2 linked regions of the Macaca mulatta genome follow. Each later gene encodes a partner of the first gene's protein in a complex. Links are inferred from orthologs where the notes say so. Each region holds a gene or a part of one and is shown on either strand. Other genes may lie near its edges. The genes, in order: GCC2 and RAB6A.

Region 1 (3,908 bases):
ACCTAGTAATAAGCAGCTACCATTTACTGGTTACATACTGTATGCTGCCTCTTCATCCTTTTGACCATTTAAACTACAGGAAACTGAGTTATCTTCAGGTCACCTTAGTTATGGGAGTGTATGGAAAACATGAATGGAAAGGTAAAAGTGTAGCAAACCACTTCAGCAGTTAACAGAAAGGCTCTCAGAGCACTGGACCGCCAATCAGGACACTGCAGCAGCTCTGGGATTCGACCACAGATTCTTCGGCGTGCCCTCGTGCCCCCTATTCTACAGAGTCTCCTCCCACAGCTGCCCAGCTCCCTGGCAGACTATCTTGCCTCTACCACATCACCAGCAGTACTGGGCGGCTACAGGGCAGAGCTGTCCCGGGACCTCCTCACAGCCTCCAGAGTCAAGGAACGCCTCCTCAGGGAAGTCCTCCACCTCATCACTGACCTGTGAGTCACGGAGCTCCCGGGCACCATGCTGGCCACAAATGCCTAAGGAGCCACCCCCGGAAGCAACTGTGGGTCCCGCAGGCACTCGCAGGCTAGTAGACACCTTCGGGGCCTGAGGGACTTGTACTTCAATCCAATGCTCTCCTCACTCTCACAAGATTTTACAGACGTGGAAACCGAGGCCCCAAGGGGTAATCGGCCCGCGTTCCCATGCCAATAACCGGCGGTGGCGGGAACCACACCTACCCTGTGACCCGCAGGCCCAGGGGTCGAGCCCCAGGTAGAACGCCTACACCAACTCCGCCCTCGGCGCGGCGCGGGAAACCTTAACCCGGACACAGAGGCGTAAGCGGAAGTGCTGCCGAGCCGTAGCTATGGAGACGCGGGGGGCGGGCCGCCCGGAGAGCGCGACCTTTGACCTGCAGTCGAGCCTACGTCAGAGGCTGGCGCAAACAGAAGTGCAGCGGTGGCGGCGGCTGGTTGCGGGCCAGCGGCAGGCAGGCGGCGATGGAGGTAACTCAGGTCGGGCCCACTGCCTCCCATCAAGCCTTCCGCGCAGCTACTTGGGATGTGGGGGTGGGCCCGGTGGGAGGGCGCGGAGGGTACCCCGAAGCCCGCTCTGCAGTCGCCTGCCACATCTTCCCTAAACTCCATCCCTGGCGGTTACCTGTCCCCATAGAGCCCGTTTGTATACGATTTGCCACAGCGACCGCCTCCGTCCGCCCTCATTCTCTGTCTCACAAGGCTTTCCACCACTTGATTCCATAGAAGGTTTTTCCCTGTAAAGGTTCCACGCGTTCCGTGTGGGATTAGGAAAAGAGTTCTTCTGACACCTGCGTTTGATTTTGTTTTGCAGGATCCTGTTCAAGATGGGGTGGCTTCACCAGCTACCCCTGGGACCGGGAAATCTAAGGTGAAGAGGATACTTGAATAGCGGGCTCCCTGAAGACTGGAAGGGTGATGAATTGGAAAACTTTGGCATGAAGAAGGGGGGCGCTATATATATATGTATATATACACACACACATATAATTTATTTTTTTAATATCCTTGCTCCAAGGGATCTCAATTTTAGTTGACGCAGTCACCAATCCATTTCCTGTTTCTTTCTCCCCCGCCCACCCCGATATAAAAAGACTTTTTGTTTACTTCCTGCTCCTGGTTAGCACTGCTGGGAGATCCTGCGATTTTTCGAACATGAAACAAAGCAGTCTAATTTAAGAAGGTTTATATAGTGATGTAGTGGAAGGAGCAGTGACATAGGGTAGGGATCAAGGGATTCTGATCTGTGGGCTCCAGTTTTTACATTGTCAAAGCGTTGAATTAGTCCAGTTTTATGGCCTTGTACGGTGTTTAACATTTAATCATGCTAAACGATAGTAGTTTATTGCTAAGGTTTATTGCTTGCATGCTAAATTTCAGGCACTTGCCTAACCACTCAGTTACTTCATTTAAGCTTCATGATAACCGTGAGATAGGTACTGTTGTTGAGAAACCTGAGACCACAGGCTTAAGTAATTTTCTCAAGTGGTAAAGCTTAAACCTGAGACTACAGGCTTAAGTAATTTTTTCAAGTGGTAAAGCTTAATTTTTTAATTAAAGCCTGAATGTCACCTGGTTCATCTTGCTGCTGTAATTATGCTTACATTTTCTTGTGACACTTTCAGCCTTAAATAGAATGAAATACTTTTACAGCTCCAAGCAATTTTAAGTAGCATTAGCTCCAACCCACTAATTTTACAATTAAATCAAAAGCTAGCAATGTCAACCTGTAACATTAGCTATAAGAGGATATGCCCTGGTATTTGCGTTTAATAGTAGTCGCATAACTAATTTTTAGTACTTGCATAGCAATTACAGAGTTGACGTTGCATTTGCTTATTTTAAAAGATGTGGCCGGGCGCGGTGGCTCACGCCTGTAATCCCAACACTTTGGGAGGCCGAGGCGGGTGGATCACCTGAGGTCAGGAGTTTGAGACCAGCCTGGCCAACATGGTGAAACCCCGTTTCTACTCAGACTACAAAAATTAGCCGGGCGTGGTAGCGGGCGCCTGTGATCCCAGCTATTTGGGAGGCTGAGGCAGGAGAATTGCTTGAACCTGGGAGGCAGAGGTTGCAGTGAGCCAAAATGGTGTCATTGCACTCCGGCCTGGGCAATAGAGCGAGACTCTGTCTCAAAAAAAAAAAAAGTGGAACAAAGTATGCTGTTGGCATAAAGATTTATTCTGTAGAATGTTTTTGTTTTCTGGCAGACATTGTTTGTTTTTTGTGGTATACTAGAAACATGAGTTGTAACAAGTTGGTAACATAACCACATCTTTCAGCTGGAAACATTGCCCAAAGAAGACCTCATCAAGTTTGCCAAGAAACAGATGATGCTAATACAGAAAGCTAAGTCAAGGTGTACAGGTATTGGGTTGAAAATACTCATCTTGATCACAGTCTCTTTAATCGTGGTTTAAAATGGTAGTTTTTAAAATAATGCATTGGCTTGTTTTTGTTTTCCAGTGATTCCAAGTACACCTTAGTGTAGTAGAATCTGTTATTTAACATTCTAAAAATTTACCTCTGATTTCTAAATTATTCCCACGTCTTTAAACCACAGTGACTTTTGAGTTGTTAAAGTCAGGGAGGAGGATTTTTAAAGTTTGTGCAAGTTAAGTGTTTTTCCTTCATGTAGACTTTAGATTATTCTGAGTAAAGCGTTTTTTCAAGAGAAGTCAGTTGAAATGTTAGAGACAGAAGATAAGCCCAAAGAGATGGAACGCTTCCTCAATTAAAATAATAAAAGATTTCCATTTATAGACATTAAAGTATATTTATCTGTTGAAGTTGATTGATTCCCTATTCAGTTTTCTTTTTATTCCAGAAGGAAAAAGATCTTAGATCTTTTTCTTAGTATATGTACATGAGCTCTTGAATTTCCAGTGACTTACAAATATTAACTGCTTAGCCTAAAAGCCGAGACTTGTTTTCTATTAGAAAAGATAAAATTATGTCTTGGGAGTTTGGATCACTTTGCAATAAAGAGAATAATTTATTTGGAAAGAAGTTCTAGGCCTGAGATCTAGGCATTCGCTAGTGAAACACTTCGATTAACGTTTCGTTTCTTCTTCTTTTTTTTTTTTTTTTTGAGACAGTGTTGCTCTTGTTGGCTAGGCTGGAGTGCAGGGGCACAATCTCAGCTCACTGCAACCTCCCCTTCCTGGGTTCAAGCGATTCTCCTGCCTCAGCCTGCCAAGTCCTCCCGAGTAACTGGGACTGCAGGCGGCCACCACCATGCCTGGCTAATTTTTGTATTTTTAGTAAAGACAAGATTTCACCATGTTGGCCAGGCCGTTCTCAATAATGTTTATTCTTAATATGCGATTGTGGCTTTTAAGGTTATATGTACTTACAGGTGAAATAATATGATGTCTGGAGTATGCTTGAAAATTATCAGATGGATAAGAGCAGTGAAGGAGGAAG
Region 2 (3,911 bases), on another chromosome or scaffold:
TCTTGCTCTTGTTGCCCAGGCTGGAGTGCAGCGGTGTGACTTTGGCTCACTGCAACCTCCGCCTCCCGGGTTCAAGGATTCTCCTGCCTGAGCCTTCCGAGTAGCTGGGATTACAGGCACCCACCATCACACTACGTTAATTTTTTGTATTTTTAGTAGAGATGGGGTTTCATCATGTTGGCCAAGGCTGGTCTGGAACTCTTGACGTCAGGTGATCCACCCAACTCAGCCTTCAAAGTGCTGCGATTACAGGCATGAGCCATCACGCCCGGCTTTTTTTTTTTTTTTTTTTTTTTGAGATGGATTCTCGCTCTGTCGCCAGGCTGGAGTGCCATGGTGCGATCTCGACTCACTGCAACCTCTGCCTCCCGGGTTCAAGGTATTCTCCTGCTTCAGCCTCCCGAGTAGCTGGGGCTACAGGTGCGTGCCACCACGCCCAACTAATTTTTCTATTTTTGGTAGAGACAGGGTTTCACCATGTTGGCCAGGATGTTCTTGATCTCTTGACCTCGTGATCCACTCGCCTCCGCCTCCCAAAGTGCTGGGATTACAGACGTGGGCCACCGCGCCCGGCCTGCTTTACGGATTTTGCAAGTCATTTTCTCTCTCTAGGCTTCAGTTTCCTCATCTGCAAAATTGGGAGGCCCTGATTCTGACAGTTATAAAATTCCTGGGAGCAATGGAAGATAATGTTATTTAGTAAGATGCTGTGAGAGGAATTATGATGAGAGGGTGAAGAAGGTGGGGTGGGTGCACGGGTGAAGAACGGATCTGAGGACTGTGAGGCACGGCTGAGGGCTCAGGAAAGAGGCACCTCTTACAAATTTTAAGGCTATAGGACCACCCACACTTTTTGGGGGATCATATTCCACCTTTATCCCGGCCCCGCCTCCGCCCCACCCTTCTCCCCTCCCCTTCCTTCCCCTCCTGTCCCATAAGACTGAGAAGCGCCACACTTCGTATGGCCGCCACACTGGTCCGCTTTCCACTGCTCTAGGGTTGCGCGCGCTCTCACGCTGCCACCTCACTCGCGTGTCTGCTCGCCCTCGGCCCCTTCCGATTGGCTCATTACGTAAGTGACGTAAGGGCTCCAGCCTCCTCCTAACTTATCCCTGGCTTGCCCCGCCTCCTCCTGGCTTCTTCTGGCGCAAGTGGAAACCTAACCTGCCCCGTCGCCGCCGTGCGGGAGGAGCCAGTAGAGCTGTCCAAACCAGGAAGGCGATAGCTATGGCGGTGGCGCGCACGCACGCACGCACGCCAGCGGCCGGCGGGGCCGCAGGCTCGCGCCCGGGCTCGCCCCGCGCCGCGCCAGAGGCTCGCGCACTCAGCAGGTTGGGCTGCGGCGGCGGCGGCAGCTGTGGAAGCTGAGGCGCTGCGCGTGAGAGGTCCCAGATACGTCTGCGGTTCCGGCTCCGCCACCCTCTGCCTCTCTCCCCCAGGTGTCGGAGTTGAGTGCGGAAGGAGGGAACTGCCCTAGCCTAGGGAAACCAGAGCACACCCCTGGCTCCTGCCGACACCGCCCTCTCCTTCCCAGCCGCGGGCCTCGCTCGGTGCTAGGCTACTCTGCCGGGAGGCGGCGGCGGCTGCCAGTCTGTGGAGAGTCCTGCTGCCCTCCAACCGGGCTCCTCCACCGGGCCTTGCAGGGGCCGAGAGAGCTCGGCGCCCGCCCTTCCGCTCGCCTTTTTCGTCAGCCGTCTGGAGCAGCATCGGTCCGGGAGGTCTCTGGGCTGAGGCGGCGGCAGCTCCTCTAGTTCCACCATGTCCGCGGGCGGAGACTTCGGGAATCCGCTGAGGAAATTCAAGCTGGTGTTCCTGGGGGAGCAAAGCGGTGAGTACGTGGCTCCCCCACTCCTGGCAGCTGGCCCCAGCGTCCCCGCACCGCCCCCGGTGCGGCCCTTCCGTCCGCGGAGGCTCCCAGCCCGCCTAGCGTCCGCGCTCGTTGCCACTGCAGCCCTTCCCGATGTGCCCCCCGGTGCCACTGGCTCTCCGCCTGGATCTGTCGGCCGAGATTTTACCCTGTTCCCCGGGTTCTTCAATCCTTGACTCGCCGTCTCCGTTCCCCGCAGTCCGGCCGTCTCCGGTCGATCTGCCCCCCCTCCTCAGCCCTCACCCCGCCCAGCCTCTTGTCCATCCCTTTCTTCCTCCGGTCTCCGTCGTTTCCCCTACCCCAGTACCCTTTCTTGAGCCCCACCCTTATTCCTTGCTCTTTTCCCAGTTCCTCAGCTCTGTGAGGCCCACTCAGGGAAGCCCTACTCCTGAGAACGGGCCCTCTTCAACCTTGGCCAAGGAGGGTGGGATCTGGGCGTTGTTTTCCCCAGAGGCTTGGCCCTGAGAAGTGCTGATGTCGTCGAAGGTGGGAAGGGGTGGTCGTAGAAAAAATTATTAAATGGTTTTCACCTGGGTGGGAAATTAGTCGGGCCATAGAGGAAACATCTGAATTGGAGACGACTTGAGCATGGGGTGGTTGGGGGTGAAAGGGGTAGCGTCGGCAGTGGAGATTTTTGCCCTTTAGGTTAGATGGGGCTGTGGCTTGTCGGAAAACCTCATTTTGTTCTGTTGACTTCCATCACTGACAATTCTTTTGGCAGTGTTGATGATTTTTCAATCTCTGCCAGATGCTATGTCATGATCATTTTACTTGGAATATTTCTCATCTCACCTACCCTTTTTCTCTTTTCAACATGAAGCAGCGTTTGAGTCTCATGGTGGTACAAACGGGAATTACTGGGGAAATGTTAATTATTCATTTCTTGAGTATTTTCCAATGATATATTGAGGATTCATGTGAGAGAAGGCTTGGAATAACAAACATCTTTGTTTTGTCAAATTTCCTTTGGAAAATGGAGTAGAGTAGAAATAAACTCATCTAGTTATCTAAATTAGATTTAAATACCATTTGGGCTAAATAATTCTTTTATGCTTCATATTCCGTACTATCTGATGAGTGAAATTGTTATGTCATTTACCTGGTCAGGTTCTGCTGTCACTGTACTTCCGTATTAGATACAAGATCCTAATTTTGTGATGGTCGTTTCTACGATTACTTCTTGTAGTAATTTCAGTTTTATGCTGTATTATACAAACTTGACACTCGACAATTCAGGGACGATTACCCTCCTTTGTTTTTCTCACACTTTGCATGACCGTCTTTAAAATTCAGACATTGAGAGACTAGTTCTGAGTCATCAAACATTGAGTACCTACTAGGTGTTTTAGGTGAGGTTATAGAAAACATTAATTGTTTGTTTTGACTAGAAGGCATATAAGTGATATAAACTCATAGCTTTTATTACTACTTTGAACTATTTATACTGATTTGTATGCCATTACAGAGGTTAATACCCTTGCAAAATTGCCTCCCGTTAGAACTGGGAAATCATTTTTCTCCTTTCATATGTAGATTATCTTCCCCTCCTCCCTTTTGAGGGTAAAAATACGATCTCCTTGCTTTTCGCTTACATATTTTCCTGAGGTAAGTATAAACTTGTGTCTTTAGGTGAGTAACTTGGTAGAACCTATGGAGTTGATCCTGGTCCAGCTTTTATATGTCAATTTCAGGATAGTTCCCAAACATAAAATAAAGCTTATTGATCATTATTGGTAAAAAGGATCCAAAGTGCTTATTGTGCATTCTAAGGATATTATTGCCTTTCTTACGTTGTGATGCACAGCTATTTAGTTTGCATGAAAAAACTCATTCATCTCCCTGTCTAAAAATATTTTAGCATGAAAGGAGTGCTTAACTTCCTAAGTATCTTCAGGTTTCCTTTGAATTTCTTGAGTATTTGTATATGTTCTAATTCATAATGGAGAGTTTTATGGCTTCTAATTTCGTACCTTGTTTAAGCCTCTACTACCCTCCTCCCTCCATTACTGAAGCCTGGTTAGATTTTTTTTTTTTTTTAATAGAC

Evidence for each region.
Region 2: the proteins of GCC2 (region 1) and RAB6A are in contact, whole or in part, in a crystal structure (PDB 3BBP), measured with the Homo sapiens proteins. The link is inferred for Macaca mulatta from reciprocal best matches to the Homo sapiens genes GCC2 and RAB6A. Residues at the interface, in NP_852118.2 of Homo sapiens: Thr1585, Ile1588, Leu1589, Glu1591, Gln1592, Leu1595, Leu1596, Glu1599, Arg1602; in NP_942599.1 of Homo sapiens: Lys15, Ile46, Gly47, Ile48, Trp67, Arg74, Phe75, Ser77, Leu78, Ser81, Tyr82, Asp85.

The regions. Positions count from the first base shown.
Region 1 is NC_133418.1:19,016,580-19,020,487, forward strand, and holds the start of GCC2 (GRIP and coiled-coil domain-containing protein 2), read left to right. Parts: upstream 1-878; 5' UTR 879-947; coding exon 948-962; intron 963-1,296; coding exon 1,297-1,353; exon of another isoform or gene 1,354-1,397; intron 1,398-2,764; coding exon 2,765-2,849; intron 2,850-3,908. UniProt on the Homo sapiens protein: Golgin which probably tethers transport vesicles to the trans-Golgi network (TGN) and regulates vesicular transport between the endosomes and the Golgi.
Region 2 is NC_133419.1:74,148,456-74,152,366, reverse strand, and holds the start of RAB6A (ras-related protein Rab-6A), read left to right. Parts: upstream 1-1,356; 5' UTR 1,357-1,758; coding exon 1,759-1,828; exon of another isoform or gene 1,829-2,097; intron 2,098-3,911. UniProt on the Homo sapiens protein: The small GTPases Rab are key regulators of intracellular membrane trafficking, from the formation of transport vesicles to their fusion with membranes.